Linked DNA regions of Canis lupus familiaris. The protein of the gene in region 2 interacts with the protein of the main gene of each other region in a biochemical or structural test. Links are inferred from orthologs where the notes say so. Each region holds a gene or a part of one and is shown on either strand. Other genes may lie near its edges.

Region 1 (7,404 bases), on a different chromosome or scaffold from region 2:
ACCCAGCCCCGTGATGCACCATGCAGCCCTCCATGGGCGGTTCTACCTGAATGACCTGATTTAACCCACGCAGCTATGCAGGGAGGTGAACACAGAGTAGTTGAGGACTGTTGGGTTTCTAGGATGTATGAGCAAATGAATGAATGCATGTCAGCTAATAACTGTGACCTCCAGTCCTTACAGTATGTATTGAATACCCTGGGCTAAATTGTACTGAAGAATCACTTCAATTGATGGGTTCTGAATTGAAGCCCTTTCTGGTGTGTGAAGCCTCAGATGCAAGTTATTGGAGCTGTTCCAACGAGCACAGGGTGCTAAGAAAAAGGGGGTCCCAGATCAGGGTGGAACACAGGGCCCTGATTCTGTGGGGAGAGGTCTGGCCCAGCAGCCCCGAGTCTCTCCCTGCAAGCGCCCCTCCACACCTCTCCTGGATCCCCCGGCAGCAAGAACGCTCCTTCTGGCTCCAGCCTCTCTCCTGGTCCTGGAATTAATAAAGACTCTGAGCAGACTGCGGTTTGCAAGTCTGAAAGCCGGTTCCTGCCCACGTCACTGCCCCGAGAGGAGTGGGGCCCAGCTCCTCCCCAGCGCCCCCTCCCTTCCCCCTTCCCAGGAGGGGGCAGGCACACAGATGCACCTCCTGGCCTCGCTCTCCACATGTAGGCTCACCCTAGGTACTGAGCCTCCAGACCCCAACCCTAAGCAGCCCCTACCCCCAGCAACAAAGACAAGTTCGGGCTCATAACCTCTATCAGCTACCCCACAGTACCCCAAATAGAACACACTGGAAGCAGGAGCTGTACACTTACTGTGCAAAATAGCTTCAAGTTTGTTCTCCTTGTGTGTCCACCCTTTTCCAAACTCCTGAAGCAGACGCTGCCTAAGACCAGGGGGAGAGGATGGAATGGCCTGGGGTCCTAAGGTGGCCCCACAGAGAGCCAAACCTGATAGTTAATCCTAAACACAGGAGTGGTCCATGCAGGATGAGGGGTAGCAATAGTAGCCTAGTACTAGTACTAGCACCAAATGAGCCTGGAGCATTTTGGATCTGGCAGGCACGGTACAGAAATGTATGATCACATTTTATTTATCTTTGCAATAACCCTCCTAGGCAGGGATATTTATCACCATCTGACACGAGATGAAACCGAAGCTCTGTGAAGAGCTTACCCCAGTAGAAAGCCCTAGAGCTAGAATTTAGTGTTAGGTTCACCTGAGTTCAACACGTGGCCTTGTTAGTCCTCCAGAAGGCCACACAGCTCCAGGCTGGAGGGCGCGGGGGTCCTTTAGCTCCCTTGCTCAGAGCTGTGGTTGTGTCTCCCCCATCATTCTCCATCTGGGGGCAGGAAAAAGCTCACAGAACTTGTGACCTCGACTTTCCCCCTCCCCCACCCTAGAGGCTCTGATGATAGCAAGTATCTGTTCCCCTCCCGTATCCTCTGGCTCTTGAATTTCTTCCCCAATTTCGGGGGGCTGGGGAGGCATGACCCTCCGCTACTCTACCCAACCCCAGGAAAGTCCCCAAGGTCCTCATCCTGTGCAGGCAGGCTGGGACTTCGGGAGTCTTGGAAATGCTGGTCTCAGCTGTTTCAGCACAGGGCCGCCCCCTCCTGGCCACCAGCGGAATGTCAGCGCCCCAGGCGTCCTCCTGTGGCTGGGAGGGAACTTGCCGTCTGGGGACTCTGGAGTCTGGTCTGGGTGCTAGTGAGGCTCAGCATTGAGATAGATGGGGGCTGGGTGATAAAGAGGGGCCAGGACACTCAATCCGGGTGAGGTCCCCAACCCCTCGGTCCCCCAAAGAGTACCTGGGGATCCTGTCTGAACATCCCCAGACACTGTGGTCTACACAGGCCTGTGTGTGGGACTGTGACCTTGATCCATGAGGAATGGAATCCCTGTGGTGTGTCAGGGTCTCCCACATGTCCCCCAGATGCCCCAGGGCACTATGCCAATGTGGTCTTAATTCCCAGGCTGTTCTAATGCAGCCTCTGTGCCTTTGCAGAGGCAGATCCTAGACCTGCCCCCAAACCCTCCCCAGCATCAGCCGGGAGACAGTGACCTTAGTCCATAAAGGATGGACCTATAGTGTGTCAGAGTCCCCCCCCCCCCCCCCCCTTCTTTTCCCCTGATGCCCCACAGGGCAGCGCCAGCATGATCTCACCTTCCAGGCCGTTCTGCTCACAGCCCCTCAGCCTCTGCAGACATTGGCCCCAGGCCTTGGACCCCAGACCTGCCCAACACCCCACACCCCCAGCTTCGGGCAGGGACAGTCTCTGGCCAGACCTGGGGGTGTCGGGGGAGTCTGGAGGGCCGGGGTGGGGGCAGAGGCACAGGACAGCTGGCCTGCGTCCCCACGCTGGGCCCCGGGCCCAGCCGGAGGGGCGGGGGCCTGGCCACTCGGGCCTTGGCTGGGGCTGGAGTTTTGGCCGGGCTGCGGGCCCTCCCCCCGCTTCCTCTCCCGAGGGCTGTCCTGGCAGAGGCCCCCCTCGCACTTTCTGGCGGGAACGCGGCCAGCGCGGAGGGAACAGCTACAGAGGGAAGCCGAGAGGGATGGGGAAACTGTGCGTGTGCGTGTGTGTGTGCGCGCGGGTGAGTGTGTTTTAAGGAAAAAAGCCCACATCCAGTCCAGTCAGACTCAGCCTGGGAGGCTTGGGAGCGGGGCCTTTCGTAATTGCCCCCTCCCCGCGGCCCCCTCCCCCAGCTCCCCCCTCCCCCGCCGCCCGCCGCCCGCCCTCCTTCCCTCTCAGCGACGAGGCCGCAATTACGCTTTGGGGATAAAACGAGGCGCAGAGAGCGGCCCGGGGCACTTCTCCCCGAGATGGCGGGTCTGAGAGCTGCAGCCCTGCGGCCCGGAGTCCTGCTGCTCCTGCTGTCCGTCGCCCGCCCCTCGCAGCCCGGAGGTAGGCCTCTCCCTGCCCCGGGATGCCGCGGCCCCCCCTGACAGACCTGGGCGCCCTCCACCCCGCCGTCCGGGGACCCTGGGCGGGAGCCTCCCGGCCGCTGGATCCCCGCAACCGCGCCTCCCGGGAGCCAGCCCTGCCGAGGAGGAACCTGTCACCAGACACCCCAAGGTGCAGGGTGGTCCCGACCGGCCCAGGTCCTGCCGCCCGGCTCGGCTCGGCTGAGGCCCCCCACCTCTGTCCCGGGCGCTGTCTGCGGAGGGGGGGGCGCGCAAGCATGCTGCGGGAGGGCCCTCGGGGTCCCCTGGCAGGGCACAGGCAGTTTGCACACGTGTGGATCCAGTAGGGACAGGGGACTGGGGCCGGAGGCCAGCTCAGCGACTACGGTGAGCTGTGTGACCTCGACAGGTTCCTTGTTCCTCCCCCCACCCCGGGGAAGTCAGGACCCCCCTCAGAGGAAGGTCAGAGTTCCGTTGATTCCGGGCTGCGGGTTGGAAAGCTGCTGCTGTGGTCTGTCCCTGGTGAGGGGGGCCGGGCCATCGGAGCGTGTGTATGTGTGTGCAGGGCATGCACACAGGAACAAGTGTGTTGTGTGCTACGGCGCAGGTGGGCATGTGTGTATATGTCCAAATGTGTCATCAAACCATAGAGGAGGAATGTGTGTTCACAGGTTCACCCCTGAGCAGGTGTGTGTGATGGGAGAGGGCGTAGGGTTTGTGAAAGTGCCTGTTAGCGTGTGCGAAAGTCTGCCACCCGACAGGAATGGACACAGGGGAAATATGCTATCCAGGTGTGGACTGTCACCGAGCATGTGACTCTGTGAGTGTGTGTGTGTGTGTGTGTGTGTGTGTGTGGTATAGGACACAAACAAGGATCAGAGAAGCTGGGGAAGGTATTCATCTCCTGGCAGAGGGAGGGCAGCCAGTGACAGAGGCTAAAGTGGACCTCGGGGCAGTTCTGGACCATCTGGCATGCTCTCTGCCATAGGCCACAAGGATGCCCCCCTCCCCGGGGGAGGCTACACACCTCAAGGGCTCCTAGGAGTGGCCCCCTGGGGAGCCCTCCAGAAGGTGCTCTTGGCCATGGGAAGAGAGGAGTGCAGAGACTTGAGCCATTTGGTGGGGTAGCCTGGGTGGGGTCAACTTCCCATGGGCGTCCCCCTTTGCCATTAGAACCAGATCTTCAGTGGGGGACCAGTGTCGGGGGCGCGGGATGGAGCAGGGCCAGGCCGGAGGGCTGGAATGAGGGGCGGGGCAGCAGCAACCCTCTCCCCCGAGCCACTGACTAGCTGAACAGGACTGCTGAGAGCAGAGGCTTCTTGCAGAGGTCAGCTCCTGGACCTGGACCTGGATGGGGGTGCGGCGGGGGGCATACTAGGGGGGCAAGACAAACCCCAGACGACCGGCCACCCCAGCACCCCCAAGAGCAGCGGCTCTGGACCCTCTCAAACCTCTTCCCCACTCCCTCAGGTGTGGCCCCTGAGCACCTGCCTCCCCAGACAGTGCTTCCACATAGAGCGTGGCAATTAACCCCTCAAAACCCCCGAAGAGTTGAGAATATGATCTTCTTTTACCCATAGGTAAATGGAGGCTCAGACAGGCTAAGGCAGCCCCAGGGGGTTAGTACTGGCCAGGTTCTCTGCCAAAGGATGGGGGCAGGGGCCGGGTATCGGGCTACATCTGGGGGGGGGCATCCATCTTCAGGAGATGAAGCCTCCTGAGTGGGCACACCCTAGGGCAGAATACACCCTCTCCTTGTGGCTCCAGTCACACTGCCAATGCTCAACTACTCTTCATCTTATTTTACAAATATAAATCTCAGCTCTGACCCAGGTGGTAAAGCAACTGGGTCCCAGTCAGGGGTGTGTGAATCCATGATATCTATTGCAGTTTTTGCCCAGAGCCTACTAAAGAGGTCGGGGGGAGTGAGAGAGCCATGCCCCTACATACACAGAGCTACCCGCCTGGCTTTCCTGGGGAGCCCAGCATTTGCCCCCCTCAACAAGAGGATATCACCCCCATGAGCTTCCTAGTTCCAAAGAACTGCATCGTAAGTGGAGGGAACCCCCCAGGAAAACTGTAATGGAAAGGGTTGTCTGGACCCCTTTAGGAAGTTCCAAGTGGGTCTGAAGACCAGCCGCTCCAAACCCCCATGCCATCTATCTTTTTAAAGATAGAGAAAACAGTTAAATTCGGTAGAATTCCATCCCCATGCCCCAGAAATGTATCAGCCTTTTCTTTTCCTGATTCCGGGACTAAGGATGATTTGGAACATCCCTAGCTGCATATTGGAGTTAACTGGAGAACTTTAAACAACTCTGATACCAGGGTCCCACCCAAGGATTCCTGCTTTACTTGGCCAGAGGAAGGAACTGGATGTGGAGGAGGTTTTATAAAAAGCTGCCCAGGTAACTCTGATGAGCCTCCAGGGCAGAGGGTCTGTGGGTGAGGAGTTAATCCCACTCTCTGCATTTGCTGGAGCCACGGCGGGAGGGCAGACGTGCCCAGGGGAGGGAGGGGACAGAGTCACCCACTAGAGGACAGATTGTTTTTGAAAAGCCCTTGGCAGCCTTTCTCCAGGCAAACAATAAACAGCTTCGTGAGGTCTTATCTGCTCCCTTGCCAGCCCCCTGGACTTGGGCTTGGCAAAGCCCCTTGCCAAGGCCTGCTGGCCCGATGCTCATTCCCCAACTGCCTTCTCCACATCTTTGAACCTAAAGCCCGGGGGCCCAGGCAGAAAGCCCTGCGTGTGACTGGGGTCAGCGGTGGGTCCCAGGCCAGGCGCCTCATCTCACTGGCTCTTGGTTTCCCTGGCCATAAAATGAGGAGAAACATCCCTGCCCTACTTATCTCCTTGGGCCAGTGGGAGGCTCCAGCCGTGTAACATCTGCAAAAATCACATCAAGTGAGGGGACTGTGGGAATGGGAATTTCTAAAACAATACATCTTCTTATTCAGAATTTGTTTATTTGGACCGATTGACTCTTATAATTAGGGCACATTTTTTAAGGTTTAACTTTCCCTCTTGCTGCTCACGCCATGTTTTGTCTACTGGGTGGAGTGTGCATGAGTGATGGAGGAAGCAGATAGGACCAGGAGACTGGGTGGCCCAGGAGAGTCCCAGGAAATCCAGGAAGGCTTCATAGCAGAAGTTACATTTGAGTCAGACCTAAAAGAACGGGCAATGCTTGAGAGGCTGTCTGTGGGTGAGAGATGAGCCTGGGGCTCTGGGGCTCTGGGGCTCTGGGAGACAGCAGTGGAGAGATGGAGGGCAGATTCTGTCTCAGCAGAAAGAAAGCCTTTCTGCAGGTAGGGCCAACAGCATCGGGAGGGGGTGATCTTCCTGTCACCAGAGGCGTGCAAGCAGGAGTACAAGGGGATGTTTGCAGGAGTTTCCGCCCAGGCCAGAAGACTGTTATGATCTCTGAGAGTCTAAGACCAGGATTCTAAGAGGCAAGAGACAAGTTCCACCCTGGGCTAGCCCGTGAAACAAGCCAAACCCACATAAAACAAGACAAGCATGCTCCAAGCCAACTGCTTTGGGCCAGCTGAGCGGTGAGAACCACAGGCTCAGAGAAGGCAGGAGGGGAAGAATTTGAGCTCAGTCTAGGAGGAAGTGCAGGACTTGGGTAGCGGAGAGCACTCTTGGCAGGAGGAACTGTTCCAGCCAAGGAGGTGAGGAGAAGGAGAACCGGCTAGAGCTCGAAAGCTGCCTTTTTGAAGGCCCTTGACTGACTACTGTCTTAATCTGTTCTCACCTCTCCTGAACGTGGTGAGAGGGGGCAGGGCAGGGATCCTTTGCACCCCCCTAATCCTTCTCCATTAGCTCAGTGCAAAGTGGGGGTCGAACTCTCTCGCTCCCCCGGCCATCATGGTTCAGGCACGGAGTTTGGCAATCAGTATTGGGAACTGAATCATGGGGGGCCGGGGTGTGGGGAGAGCTGGGGCAGGCCAGGAGGGCTACAGAGAGCCGGGCAGGCGCTGGGGAGAGGGCAGGCAGAGGAGGAAATGCAGATGGGGTGCAGGGGAGCAGAACCTCGGCAGAGGAAGGAAGGGTTCAGCCAGGCCCGAGGTGGGGAGCCCCCCAGGCTGGCTGGGGATGGAAGAGTTTGGACCCAGACCCATCCTTGCCTCCTCTCAACCTAATTCACTCGTGGTTTATTGAATGTCTGTTGTATACCTGGCCCCACACCATGCACTGTGCAGCAAAGTGGACACAAAAGGTCACCTTTTTTTTTTTTTTTGAGCAATTACTGTATGCCAAGTCAAGAGCAGGACGGTCTCTTATTTGAACCCTTTGGCAATTTGCAAACAGCCTTGAAAGGCAGAGGTGATCAGTCCCACATTGCTTACAAGGAAACTGGGACTCAAAAGGGTTACATGACTTGCACAAGGTCACACAGATGGTAAGAAGTGGCACAGCCAGGATTAGAGACAGATGGGTCTGCTCCTGCAGCCTGCCCTGGAGCCAGAGAGCAGAGAGGTGGGGACAAGGCACTGTCAAGAGG
Region 2 (7,062 bases):
TGGTAGCCATAGTCACAGGATGTGTCCTCAAGACAGAAACTGGCTTTGTGGCCTTCAGCCACTCTCCTCTGGGTACTGGCATCAAGTAGGTCATAGTGGCTGAATTCATCCATGCTGTGGTAATGTCTGATGTCCCACACAACACAGAGACAGAGGTCAGTAACATACAGAGAAACAAAGCCATGAGGACTTTAGATGACTCCCCCACTGCCTCCCACACGTGTTTTCACACTAAAATTGAGATCAAGTTTATCTTCTTAAAGCCAGATTCATGCTAGCCCTTTTTCCTAGGAATAGAGATCTATCAGAATTGTAAGCTTTTAGCTTTGCTTCTAGGAATAAAAAATGACTTAGTTTGAATATCTTGTTTTCCTATTACACCCTGTTTTATCTTTGAATATTAAATAGAAAAAGATACTAAATTATCTGCATTTAAGTAAAACCTGCCATATGCTCTCTAATCTGTTTCCTTTGGCTGCCAGGATTGATGTTTCGTTCCAAATAAAAGAAGAGCACATGACTCATGGGAGGTTTCTGTGAGATTTTTAAAAATGCAAAACCATTACTAAAATGCAAAGGAGAAATAATGGTATGTTTTTCCCACAATTATTATTTAATAAGTATAAACTTTTATTGAGAAATGAAATAATTTTATTTTATCAGAAAATTCAGTGTTTATATCTGTTTTCTCTCATTTCATTTCAGGGAAGGTACTGAGATGTTTATCTTCTCATGTAAGGAAAGAACAAGAAAAAATTGCTCAAATTGCAGAAGGTTTCAGGGCACCCATCAGGATTTCCTGGCATTAAGTACCTGGACAAGTTACCAAGGCAAATCATAGAACCACCTTCTATAAAGATCTTTAAATTTAGGACAAAGCAGGCTATTACCCTGGCTTTGATACAGGCCTTTTAAAAGACAGAGGTAGGTCCTTCTCAGCTCATGGAGTATATCATCTCTATTTTTCTCTGAGATTGGTATATGAATCCTTCTGATCACCTGTGGACTTTATGAAATGCTGACTAACTGTAGGTGATCTTGGCTAGAACAAGCTTTTTTTTTGGAAATCTTACCTATAATTCATTGGAATAAAATATTAGGGAAGCCAATGCTGTATCCCTATCAGCAGTTTTAATGAGCTGAACTTAGAATTTTAACGAGCTGGATTTGAATTTCCATTTTAAAAGATAACAGGATCCTGTAGCTGATATGTTTCCTTGATGATGTCACATTACACAGAGAAAATTCTGAATGTAATCATAACAGTAATTTTCTCCCTTTTCTGTAAGAAATAAGACTTTGCACTTGTCACATCAAGAACTCTGTGAAAAAAAGGAAAACACAACTCAGAAGGACCTAGGAGGCCCATCCACTTACTGGTGACAACTGTGCCATTCCCAGGAATATCTTGGTCGGCTGGGTAAGAAATCTGATGTCCCTTGGTTTTTCACTCTTTGAGGGAATCTTAGCAGCACCCTGTGATCATAATCTCTGACATCTGCCCTGTATGCTGAGCTGTGGTTTTGAAGAAGGAAACATTAGTACTTTCACAGGATACTATCTAAAGATGAATTACAAGCAAAACCCTTTCCATTTTATAATGGCAACTACCTCCCACCTCCAACTAGACTATCAGTTGCAAGAGACCTGGGGCATTTTGCTTATTTTGTTTATTGCTGAATCTCCAGATCCTAGAACGATGCCTGGCAAGTGGTCAGAGTTCAGTGAATATTTGTTGAATCAGTGAATGAATGACCACTATAGAAACCTGCAGTTAGGATCCCTGGGTGGCTCAGCGGTTTGGCGCCTGCCTTTGGCCCAGGGCGAGATCCTGAAGACCCGGGATCGAATCCCACATCAGGCTCCCGGTGCATGGAACCTGCTTCTCCCTCTGCCTGTGTCTCTGCCTCTCTCTCTCTCTCTGTGACTATCATAAATAAATAAAAAATTAAAAAAAAAAAAAGAAACCTGCAGTTAAAAAGTATAATAAAATTAGGATTAAGAGTGTACGTGTGATAAGTAAATTTTGTACTTATAATCAGTTCTTGTTTAGCCACATGAATGAGTAGCAGTTATCTCAAATTTTTTAAAAAAATCTTATGTACTTATTAAGAACTTTGAATTTAACAATACGTTTCTTCTTAAATAGTTTCCTAAGATGTAAAGTGGGGAAATAATTCTAGAAGCATACACCCAGATTAGAGAAATAATTTTGCAATTTCGCTATCTTGAAAACAATGGCATGACTGTAATAACATCCTAGGGAGTGCAAGACTCAAAATGGATGAGTTCAGCTTTCTTCTCTTCCTTTAGCCTGACAGTTACAAAGGGTCAAAGTGGAAGAAGAACTGAACAGATAAACACTACTCTCTTCCTTCTAACATATTTTGTGGGAATATATATTCACATACTGTTGAGTATTTTCACTTTCCACTTGAAAAAAATTTTATGAGACCTATCAAAACATCTTTTGCTCCCTCTGCTGGTTTCCCAGCGGCAAAGTCAGAGAATTCCATTCCCCAAATTGCTATGACTTTATTTTAGGACTGATTCAAAAACAAAGCTCTTGATCATGCTCTTATTCTGGCTGAAGTAATACCAAAACAACGAAATTAAATTGTGGCCTCAAACAAAAGAAGAAAACCTAACCTTTGCTGATGAGGGGTGCCACACTGGCAAATTAGCCCTCTGTGTTTTAAGGGGTTATTAACAAGCTCTTCCATTACAAAATTTTTTCCATGGTATTGTACAGTTCTTTGATAGAAAGTTATGGGAAACCACTAGCTCCAAAGTCTGAGGGTCTTGGAAAAAGAACGCGAGATCTCAACTCTCCAGGATTAGGGTTTACCCCATCTCCCTGATGTGTGTCACAGTTTGAAAGTCGGAACCCACAGAAATCTTGAAAATGTTAAACTCTCCATCCAGTTCAGCATGCCCAGGAGACCACATTCCACTTCCCAGCTCTTGCCGCATTTCCCAATTCTTGTGTGCATGGAACAAGAGCAGCAGTCAGGAGGACCAGGCGCTGGAGCAGCGCCTGACCCACAGATGGGGCAGCCCGGCCGCGGAGAGCCCGACCAGTACCTGGCCAAGCAGTTCTCCTCTGCAGCGCATCTCAGGTTGTACATGGACATCTTTTGCACGTACGTGGACGCCTGGATGTAGTACGGATCTGGCACCAGGTCCGGGAGACCTAAACGTCAGGAGGCGATGGGGATAGGTAGCTGTGAGCCAGCCCAGCACCCCCTACCCCGGCCCTGGGTACCCTCCGTGTCCCTGACTCCTCACCCTTCACCCAAGCGGGCTGCGGGTAGCAGGAGGACGGGGGACGCCAAGGGCTGCAAAGCAAAGTGGAAAGAAAGCAGGAGGGGCCAGGCGCGCGCGGTTTGCACCGGATTCCAGGGCTGCCTCTGCAGGCGCAGGGGGAGGGATCGGAGCCGCGGGGACTAAGGCCTGCCGCGCCCAGGCAGCCACGTTGGGGAGCCACGGAGTGGCGGAAGGGGTGCGCGGCTGCTTCCTGCGACTTGGGGTGCTTACCGTACTGGAAATAGCCGGTGCCGTATCCGGGCCGATACCTGCTCCCAGGCCGAGGCCTTTCGTACGTGTCGTAGTAGTTGTAATAGGGGTTGTCGTCGGAGTACTTGTAGGGGTTGTAGGGGTCGTCGCCCACCATGCCATCCACGCGGCTGGGCGGCCGCAGGTTACTGAGCGCCGGGCGCTCTCCCGGCGCGGTCTGGTTGGCGTCGCGGGCCCCGGACGCCGAGTAGCCAGCCTGGAACCAGTGGCGGGCGGCGGGTCTGGGTCGGCCGGCGCCCCCCGCCGTGCCTGCGGCCCGCTCCCGCGCTGCCGCCGTGCGGTTGCGGAGCAGCAGGATCGGCGTGCGCGGCTGCGGGGCTGCGGCGTTGGCAGCGCCCGGGGCGGTGGTGCCCGGGTCCCGTCGGCGCTGCGGCTGGTACTGCGAGCCCAGGCTCAGCAGGCTGAACACCTGCCCGTTGTTCTCCCATTGGATCCTCTGGCGCCAGGCGGCCGGAGCCGCGGGCGGCTGGCGAGGGGGCTGCTGTTGGCCGGCTGCCGGCGGGGCGCAGCGCAGGAGCGCGCAGAGCTGCAGCGGCCCGAGCAGAAGCGCGGTCCAGGCGAAGCGCATCGCTCCCGTCGCCTGACTGCTCCCACTCCGGGAGGACGCAGATCGGAGAAGAGAGAAACGGGGCCCGAATCACGTGAGGGAGGGGAGAAATCTTCAACCAGGGAGGCCGGTAACTCAGTCCCTACAAGCAATGCCAAGGGTGGGCTGCGGACCCTTGCCCAGCAAAGGCGGCTGCTGGGACGTGGCACCCGCCTGTCTCCTCTTTCCCAGTCCTCCTGGAAGGCGGCGGGGAGCGGCGCGGCGGCCCCGGCGAGCGGGCAGCGTCTGGAGTGAAGGAAGGAGGAGAGATTTTAAACTTTCTGGCACGTTTGCAAAGTTACACAAGCAGTTCTGGCCCGGCAGCCCCTCCGCTATTTGTTCACGTAATGCGATTGGAAACGTGCAAGGCGGACAGCTCCTCGCCTCTGCCCCTCCCTCCCGTCCTGTCCTCCTCCCCCCAGACACGTTGCACAGGGAGCGTTAAGGGGAAAGAACAAAACGGAGCACACATCCTGAGACACACTCGGCTTAATCTGGGGCGAACATGCAGGAATTTCAAAAGACTCAGACAGGCGAAGGCAGCCAGGCCATGGGGCGACGCCAAAATATGCATGAAGAAAAATGCTATTAGGTCACCAGCCCTGGAGAGGCGGGAAGTCGGGAGGTGGGGAGGGTGCTGGGGGCGAGAGTCGGGGAGGAACGGGGGCGGGGGTGGGGTGGGGAGGGATGCTGGTGACTAACGTTTATCCATAAGGAGTTAACCAGACGAATTTCCCAATGCATACTCACTCGCTTTTATGGTAAGCGCCCTCAGCAAATAAACCCCAGGATATCAAATTTTGTTTTTCTGTGTGTAGGTAATATGAGAAATGGGTTACAAATTTGTTTCCTACAGTGAATATTTTAATAACCAAAAGTGAAATTTTACAGGGAACAAAGCCACGTCTAACCCTGAAGAGATGGATAAACCTGTCTCTTTTTCAAAACGCCGGCCTGATTTGTACTTCCAGCAAAAGTGGAGAACCATCTTTCATCTGGACAGCATCTACCAGGACATTTCAGTAAAGGGGGGCTACACCAAGTGTGCCCAAGATAGCACTTGGAAGGCAGCTTCAAGGAAGCGTTTTACATGACTTTTCTCATTCTACATCCGATTTGGAGGTTTGGCTTTGGATTCTTTAAAAAAGTTAAATCATCATTTGCTAAACTGTGAAAATTCAGTAAAACATCCTATGGTGTTTGGTTGATCTTCCAGTGTAAGCAAAGGGGTTTCTGAAGAAATAGCCTCGGAGTTCAGATTCTGGTAAGGACAAAGGAGTAGGAGTAGCCAGACAAGAATGGGTGGCAGATGGGTAGGAGGCAGGTAATGCTGCCTGGAAAGAGATACTTAATGGACCAGTTACCCAAACATACCATGCAGGGTTTGGGTAGTGTTGGAAGCATCTCAAAGAAAAAAAATCTTTAGGCTGATTTAAAACTGTGACTCAGAACCAGATTTTAATAACTTTTTTTTATCAGTCTCATTACTAGGCTGTTGTCTAGATATACTTCATTATTCACCTCTCACTGTCGATCTCTTTCTCTGCAATTTAACCACCGCATTTTGATGATGTGGTGGACAGCTGCTGATTTGAATGCCTAGCATCCATGTTCCTTTCTTTGTTCTTTTTTTTGTGTTTTTTTGTTTTTTGTTTTTCCTAGCGAGAACCACTGTATTTTCCTTTGGGAAAACTCCCCTACACTGTTGCATGGTGGGATTGACTGAGCATTCATAAGAGTTTTGCCACTGCAAGCAGTGGCAACAAGATCCCAGCTTGGCTCATCAAACCATCTCCCTACAATTGGAATCATGAGCAGATGGACACAAGGCTCAAAAATGTTGGAGCTCACTCTTGCCGCTACTCAAGAAAGTTTCTACGAGTTCTTGCTACACGGATTCCCCTTGAGCTGTTTCAGACCAGTACCTTCCAAGACCTGATCCTTCAGCTTTTCCTTACTTTTCTCCATTGCCTTCCTTTGTGGCTTGACATGGTCAGAGTCAGTTGCTGTTGTCTGCCACTTAAGAACCCTGACTGATACTGAGGGGGATTGTGACTGGTTCTCTCAGCTAATCAGATCTCATGATTCTACATCAAACTTGATGGGTTTCGGGTCTTTATTTTATTTTATTTTTTATTCATAAGCGACACACAAAGAGAGGAAGAGACATAAGCAGAGGGAGAATAAGGCTCACTGCAGGGAGCCTGATGTGGAACTCCATCCCAGGACCCTGGGATCATTACCTGAGCCAAAGGCAGACGCTCAACCGCTGAGCTGCCTAGGTACCCTGGGGTTGGCTCTTTTTGAGTCAAATTAGATTTGCTCTTCCTGTGACCACACAGCATCCTTGGTTACAAAGGCTTCAGGTGGAAGCTTGCCAGTGGATTGGCAAGTCCACCATTATATGATGAAGGTGAAAATGCAAGTGCAAATCCCACTGAGAGCAAGTGAACAGTGCCACATCTCTGTCTGAAAGTCAGAGACATTTTATAGACTTGCTGCAGAACTTAAAATTAAACTACTCAGTTTCTCCGAACCCACTAAGAGAAGATGGAGCAAAAAGAAGCAGGTGTATATAATTTGGATGGACAGGCTAAATGATAGGGGAAGCAGGAAGGGAGAGAATGTAATTATCTCTCATCTCTCATCTGCCCATGAATGGCTTGTTCCCCAGAAACAGAATCCCGTAACTGCTAGTGCTTGACCACACGTGGCTGAGGGAAGATCTCTTCTGTGGAGATGACAGACACTGTCAGATTGGCAGACCAGAGCAGCCCCTAATGGGAGGGTAGAAAGTTTATGCTGGATGTTGTTGAAAATTTTCCATCCTGGTGCTCAAAAAAAAGAAAAGAAAAGAAAAAAGAAAAAAAAGAAAAAAAAGAAAGAAAGAAAGAAGAAAG
Region 3 (5,425 bases), on a different chromosome or scaffold from region 2:
GCACTGAAGCTCAGTGGGGAGACTGACAAAGGATGCAGCTGCTCCCCTCTTGGGAGTTAGATGGACCTGCATCCTGGACTAGGGCCAGCCACTCTTTTGAGCCCATTTCTTCTGTAAAATGGATCGTCTTGAGGATGAAGTGGGAAAATGACAAGACAGGCTTCGTCAAGTCCCAAGCCACGACGTTTTAAAGTGAACTATCATTTATTGAGAGCCTTCCCTGTGCAGGGCATTAATTTCCCCTACATACTTGGCTTCATTTAATCCTGCCAACAATCCTAGGCTGTAAGTATGAATTTTTCCTTCCTCTGCAAAACGAGGATGGTAGTCTCTCCCTTGAGGTTTTTGGCAACTATTGTTAAAGAAAATAATAAGCACAAAGTCCTTCAGCAAAGAGGTTAAGTGACTTGCCCAAGGTCATACAGCTAGGGTGAGGTCGCACCAGGGTTCCACTCTGGATCACTCATTCCTTGTCAGCTGGCCAGGTACCTTGTTTATGTTGTGCTTTGGGGTTGTATGGCCCCATTGGTACCTGGCTCAGTGCTAGACAGCATGAGGCTAACCAGAGCAGAAACCCTGGCTCTTAAAAAAAAAAAAAAAAAAGAAACCCTGGCTCTTGCCTATAAACTACCTGTTGGCAGGAGGGGACTGTACACTGAGGCTGGTTGTGGGTTGCAGGAATTGGGCAAGTTACCAAAAGCTTGAACAGGCTGGGCCTTCAAGTCTCATCTAGTCCAACCTGCTCATTTTATTGACAGGGAAATCAAGGTTCCCCAAATTCAATCAGGACTTACACCCAAGCCTCTAGATTCACAGTGCTTCCATGAGGTCTTGTATTGCAGAGCTGGGGCAGAGGTCCGGGAGCTGGGCAGTCTGGGCAGACCTTTATTTGAATCCTGTCTCCTTACTGAGCTTTGCATCCCCCTGTCTTTCCATACTGAGCCTAACATATGGCCAGGCTCTCTCTGTAAATTCAATTCATTCGTGGGAATGAATTGAGAGGCTTGCCCTTGGCCCAGAGCCCTCATCCCCACTCTTCCTCAGATATTGATGAGTGCAGCTACTCCAGTTACCTCTGCCAGTACCGCTGTGTCAACGAACCTGGCCGCTTCTCCTGCCATTGCCCGCAGGGCTACCAGCTGCTGGCCACACGCCTCTGCCAAGGTACAGGTTGCCCCAGTGGAGCAGGTAGGGTGGTATCGGGGGCTGGTGGCCTGACATCTGGGTTCCAGCCCCTTTCCCCTGATGCAGACATTGATGAGTGTGAGTCAGGCGCGCACCAGTGCTCTGAGGCCCAAACTTGTGTCAACTTCCATGGAGGCTACCGCTGTGTGGATACCAACCGTTGCGTGGAACCCTACGTCCAGGTGTCTGACAAGTGAGTCCATGGGACACCAGACACCCGCCCCCACACCCCCCGCCCGCAGAAACTACAACTCTCAGAGGGCTCTGTGGCTGACTGGCTGCTGTGCAGGCTGTCTAGTGCTCCAGGGCCTATGGGAATTGTAGTCTTTCATGACTAAACCATGCAAACAGTTCTAGAAGGAGTGGGAGAATCCTTTGGGGATACCTAGTTTTAGGAATGGGACCAAACTTGGGGTATAGGCCAGGACCTCATTTGTGTCCCCATTTTGGGGTTTCTAGTCGCTGCCTCTGTCCGGCCTCCAACCCCCTGTGCCGGGAGCAGCCCTCGTCTATTGTGCACCGCTACATGAGCATCACCTCAGAGCGGAGTGTGCCCGCCGATGTGTTCCAGATCCAAGCAACCTCTGTCTACCCTGGCGCCTACAATGCCTTTCAGATCCGTGCAGGAAACTCGCAAGGGGATTTCTACATTAGGGTAAGGCTTTCCCCTAATTGCACCCCTCAAGTGACATGCATAATCCAAAACTGAATTCCAGAAAACCTTAAGTGGGAGATTTGGCTCTACCCCTTTTCTCAAAGCCCTGTCCCCCCAGGAGGTGGAATTTCTGCAGAAAGGTAGGGGTATTCTAAATTCCCTTGCTACAAACTAACAAACTACAGGTTGTTAAATGCAGTTCCAATGAGGCACTTGGACACTGGGGTTTGAGTCCTGGCACTGGTTTCCATATCTGGCCTCTGATTTGTTCACTCTTAGAACAAGGCACTGGCATGAGAAGCCTGCCCAGGTAACAGGACACAACAGGGTCTGGGGAACACAAGCAGATGGAGCTGGGCCTTGGAGAGAGAGGCAGCAGGGGTTGGTGCAGGGGTCTGGCATCCAAGAATCCAGCTCGCTGCTGGTGGAGCTATTAGGGAGAGATCCAGGCATGACTCACGAGGAGAGGGGGCCAAGGGTTTATCTGATATTAGTCCTTGTTTTCTCTTTCTGCAATTGGATGCTCTGAAGGGAAGTCAGCCAGCTCCAGGTCACCAAAGACCCCACCACTCCCAAAAGTTTCCCACCTGGCCTTGCATCATCAGTTGACCCTGATTAGACAAAAGAACTAGATGGAAAGTGTGGGAAGAGCACCAGTGGGAAATTTCTGAGGGCAGGAGCCTGGGTGCATCAGTGACAAGATGTCAAGGGTATCAGAGCTGGATGAGAGCCTGGGGTCACAGCCTGCTAGGACTCTCCATTTCACAGCCAACTGATTGTGGGCTCAAGATATGGGATGGGGAGGTGAGGCTGGGGCAGGGGTCTTGGCATGTAGGTTGACACAATCTACATGTCCCCCACCCACTATGCCCTGCAGCAAATCAACAATGTCAGCGCCATGCTGGTCCTCGCCCGGCCTGTGACGGGCCCCCGGGAGTACGTGCTGGATCTGGAGATGGTCACCATGAATTCCCTCATGAGCTACCGGGCCAGTTCTGTACTGAGACTCACCGTCTTCGTGGGGGCCTATACTTTCTGAGGTGGGGGTGGGGAGCCCTCAGGGAGGGAGAGGCTTCCTGTGGCCCAAGAGCCTGGGGCTCAGGGATGACTGTGCTCGGCTGCAAGGGCAGATGCTGTTGTGAAGAGTAGAAAGAGAAAGGCAATAAAGGGAGAAAGAAGGAGTCCTGGTGGCTGAGGTGGGTGGGTAACACTGTAGTGAACCCCTGGACTGGGGAAGTGGCCAGGCTGTGGGAGGCAGGCCAATCACCTAAAGGGGGGTATCTCCATTCGGGCTCAGGGTGCCCCATAGATAGAAGTTGGGAACTGTGTCCCCAAGACCAGGATTGATCCATGTACCATGCACATCAGAATCGGTCTGAGAATGGAGGAGATGATAAGGCTACAGACTCCAGGGACCCAGCCCAGGAACTGGAGTTTGGTTTATAACTCTACTGTAGACATTGGAGGCCTTGGGTTCTAATCCCAGTTTGGCCTCAAACTATCAATTTGACTAAACCCTAGTAGATTCTTTCTGGGCATCAGTTTTCCAATCTATAAAATGAGGCAATTAAGATTAGTGCTTTCCACATATTTCTTTTCCAAAACACAGAACTTATTATGGAAGGATATTTGATCCTATCAGGGAACTCTGATGATATAAACTAGATTCAAAGTTGTAACGCCTCACTGACTCCATCTCCTTGGTGGTCTCAGTGCTCTCCCAGGGAACCCCAGGGTCCTTAGAGCTCAGTTTAAAAACCACTGGATCTGTTGGTCTCCCCAATTTCTGCCTGGATACTTCACAAAGTCCCTGGCATCACCTCCATAATACATCAAGCTGCAAATACTTATATTTTTATTGTAGCCCAGTGGCTTAAAAGGCTGGCTAGCCCATGAAGGTGGGGGGTGGTGGTGTAGTCGGCCTCACGGGATGCCTCAGGTCAGAGGGCTGTAGCAGCAGTAGAGCTGGGAAAAGATTCTGCTCAGAGCAGGCCCCAGATTCCTGCACAAAGAGAAATGCAGGTGAGGGTCAGACCATGAGCCAGAGCAACCCTGCCCCAGCCACTCCCTGTAGGTCCTTTTTCCTTGCCATCATCACCTTTGCAGTCGACCACACTTGATGGTGCTCAGCAGCATCTCCTGTTCCTTGGGGGTGACACAGGCGTCATAGGCGGCCAGGAGGCTGGGGGTGGGGTAGGGTGTTTGAATTTCTAAAGCTTGGCAACAGCGGACAGCTGGCCCACTCTTGAGTGGCTAGGCCACCATTACGGGAGACAAGCAGAAGGGGTCAGCGTGGAGGAGAGGAGTCAGCACTGCTGCTGTACTTCCTGAGCCTTCCATCCAGCTCAGCCTCCCTTCATGCAGCTGCAAATGTTCTCCAAGTGTGACTATTCTTGGCCTAGTCTTCATGGCCCAACCCCCTCATCCAGGAGCCTTCTCCGCTGCACCAGGCAGAAGCGCTCGCTCACTCCTGTTGGCTCCCCTGGCCGCTGAGATACTGTCTATTTCTAGCTGACCCTGAGATACTGTCTACTCCTAGCTGACCCCGTCTTCCTTACCACCTGACCTCCACCAACTCCCCTCTGTCCACTCAGTCAGGTCCATGCACCCTGGCAGAGCCAGACCCCTCCGCAAAGCACTCACCTGGCAGGGGTGCTGTACTGGCCCACTATGGCTGCTGCCTTCTCCCCACTCACTCCCCGCACCTGCATCAGCTGCCTGGCGAACACCTCCTGCACACACTGGGCCTGGGATTGGGCGAGGGGAATGGTGTCAGGCGTGGCCTGGGGCTGGCCCGAGTAAGGAGGCATGGGGTACAGGCTGTACCTTGTTCTTCATGGCTCCTGCGTTGAAGTCACTGAAGGTGAGGAGTGAGCAGAGAGGATGTGGGGAGGGCCCAGGCCTTGATTCAGGATCCCCTGAGGTTCCCCAGGGGCGACTGCGTAGGGTATGGCCCTGAAGGAAGAGGGAACTGAGGCCAGGACAGAGCTCTAGGGGACAACTCCCTGCCATTCCTTGCCTAATCCTCGGCCTCAGGAGGCCAGTATGAAAAATTTGGATCTTGCTCACTTCACTTCCTTGGGGGAGCATAGGACCCAAGGACAAATCACTTCCTCACCTGGTAGAGCCTCTGCAAGCCCAGTGTCAAGAGGGCCAGGTAGGCAGCTGACTCCTTGATGTCTGCTGTGCGCTTCACAAAGAAGCCATCGATGACCTGGGGAAGAGGAACCCACCCAAGAGATGATGGGAATTCTTGGCCAGAGCTGTGGACCATGGGGTTCCTGCAAGCCTTGCCTTGTCCTCTTGGCTCACCTGAGTGTTGGTGACAGCCTGCAGCAGCGTGCTCTCAGGAAGGCTAAGGTGGTGTGCAGAGCCATGCTCCTCCACCAGGTATATTCTGTGCCCCAGACCACAGCGCTTCAGCCGGAACTGGGGAGGTAGAGAGGCAGGGAGGGTCAGGCCTGGATGCCCGTATGCTGGCTGTCCAGCATGTCACTCAAAATCATCACGGGACCCTGGTCTCACCAATCCACCTCCTCATCCTCCCTAGCTTCTCTGCCTGTCTCAAAGGGCCCCCACCTTTGC

Evidence for each region.
Region 1: the proteins of LOX (region 2) and ELN form a complex in vitro, tested with the Homo sapiens proteins (2 studies listed by BioGRID and IntAct). The link is inferred for Canis lupus familiaris from reciprocal best matches to the Homo sapiens genes LOX and ELN.
Region 3: the proteins of LOX (region 2) and EFEMP2 form a complex in vitro, tested with the Homo sapiens proteins (2 studies listed by IntAct, with this or other methods). The link is inferred for Canis lupus familiaris from reciprocal best matches to the Homo sapiens genes LOX and EFEMP2.

The regions. Positions count from the first base shown.
Region 1 is NC_049227.1:6,243,450-6,250,853, reverse strand, and holds the start of ELN (elastin), read left to right. Parts: upstream 1-2,728; 5' UTR 2,729-2,815; coding exon 2,816-2,897; intron 2,898-7,404. UniProt on the Homo sapiens protein: Major structural protein of tissues such as aorta and nuchal ligament, which must expand rapidly and recover completely.
Region 2 is NC_049232.1:11,930,376-11,937,437, forward strand, and holds the start of LOX (protein-lysine 6-oxidase), read right to left. Parts: upstream 4,527-7,062; 5' UTR 4,145-4,526; coding exon 3,538-4,144; intron 3,194-3,537; coding exon 3,085-3,193; intron 1,895-3,084; exon of another isoform or gene 1,516-1,894; coding exon 1,378-1,515; exon of another isoform or gene 1,290-1,377; intron 925-1,289; exon of another isoform or gene 706-924; intron 590-705; exon of another isoform or gene 483-589; intron 127-482; coding exon 1-126. UniProt on the Homo sapiens protein: Responsible for the post-translational oxidative deamination of peptidyl lysine residues in precursors to fibrous collagen and elastin. Regulator of Ras expression. May play a role in tumor suppression. Plays a role in the aortic wall architecture.
Region 3 is NC_049239.1:51,894,905-51,900,329, forward strand, and holds the end of EFEMP2 (EGF-containing fibulin-like extracellular matrix protein 2), read left to right. Parts: intron 1-1,044; coding exon 1,045-1,164; intron 1,165-1,251; coding exon 1,252-1,378; intron 1,379-1,644; coding exon 1,645-1,840; intron 1,841-2,717; coding exon 2,718-2,879; 3' UTR 2,880-3,021; downstream 3,022-5,425. Other genes in the region: crossover junction endonuclease MUS81, read right to left, coding at 3,776-3,842, 3,939-4,022, 4,484-4,587, 4,667-4,795, 4,959-5,054, 5,153-5,269. UniProt on the Homo sapiens protein: Plays a crucial role in elastic fiber formation in tissue, and in the formation of ultrastructural connections between elastic laminae and smooth muscle cells in the aorta, therefore participates in terminal differentiation and maturation of smooth muscle cell (SMC) and in the mechanical properties and wall integrity maintenance of the aorta.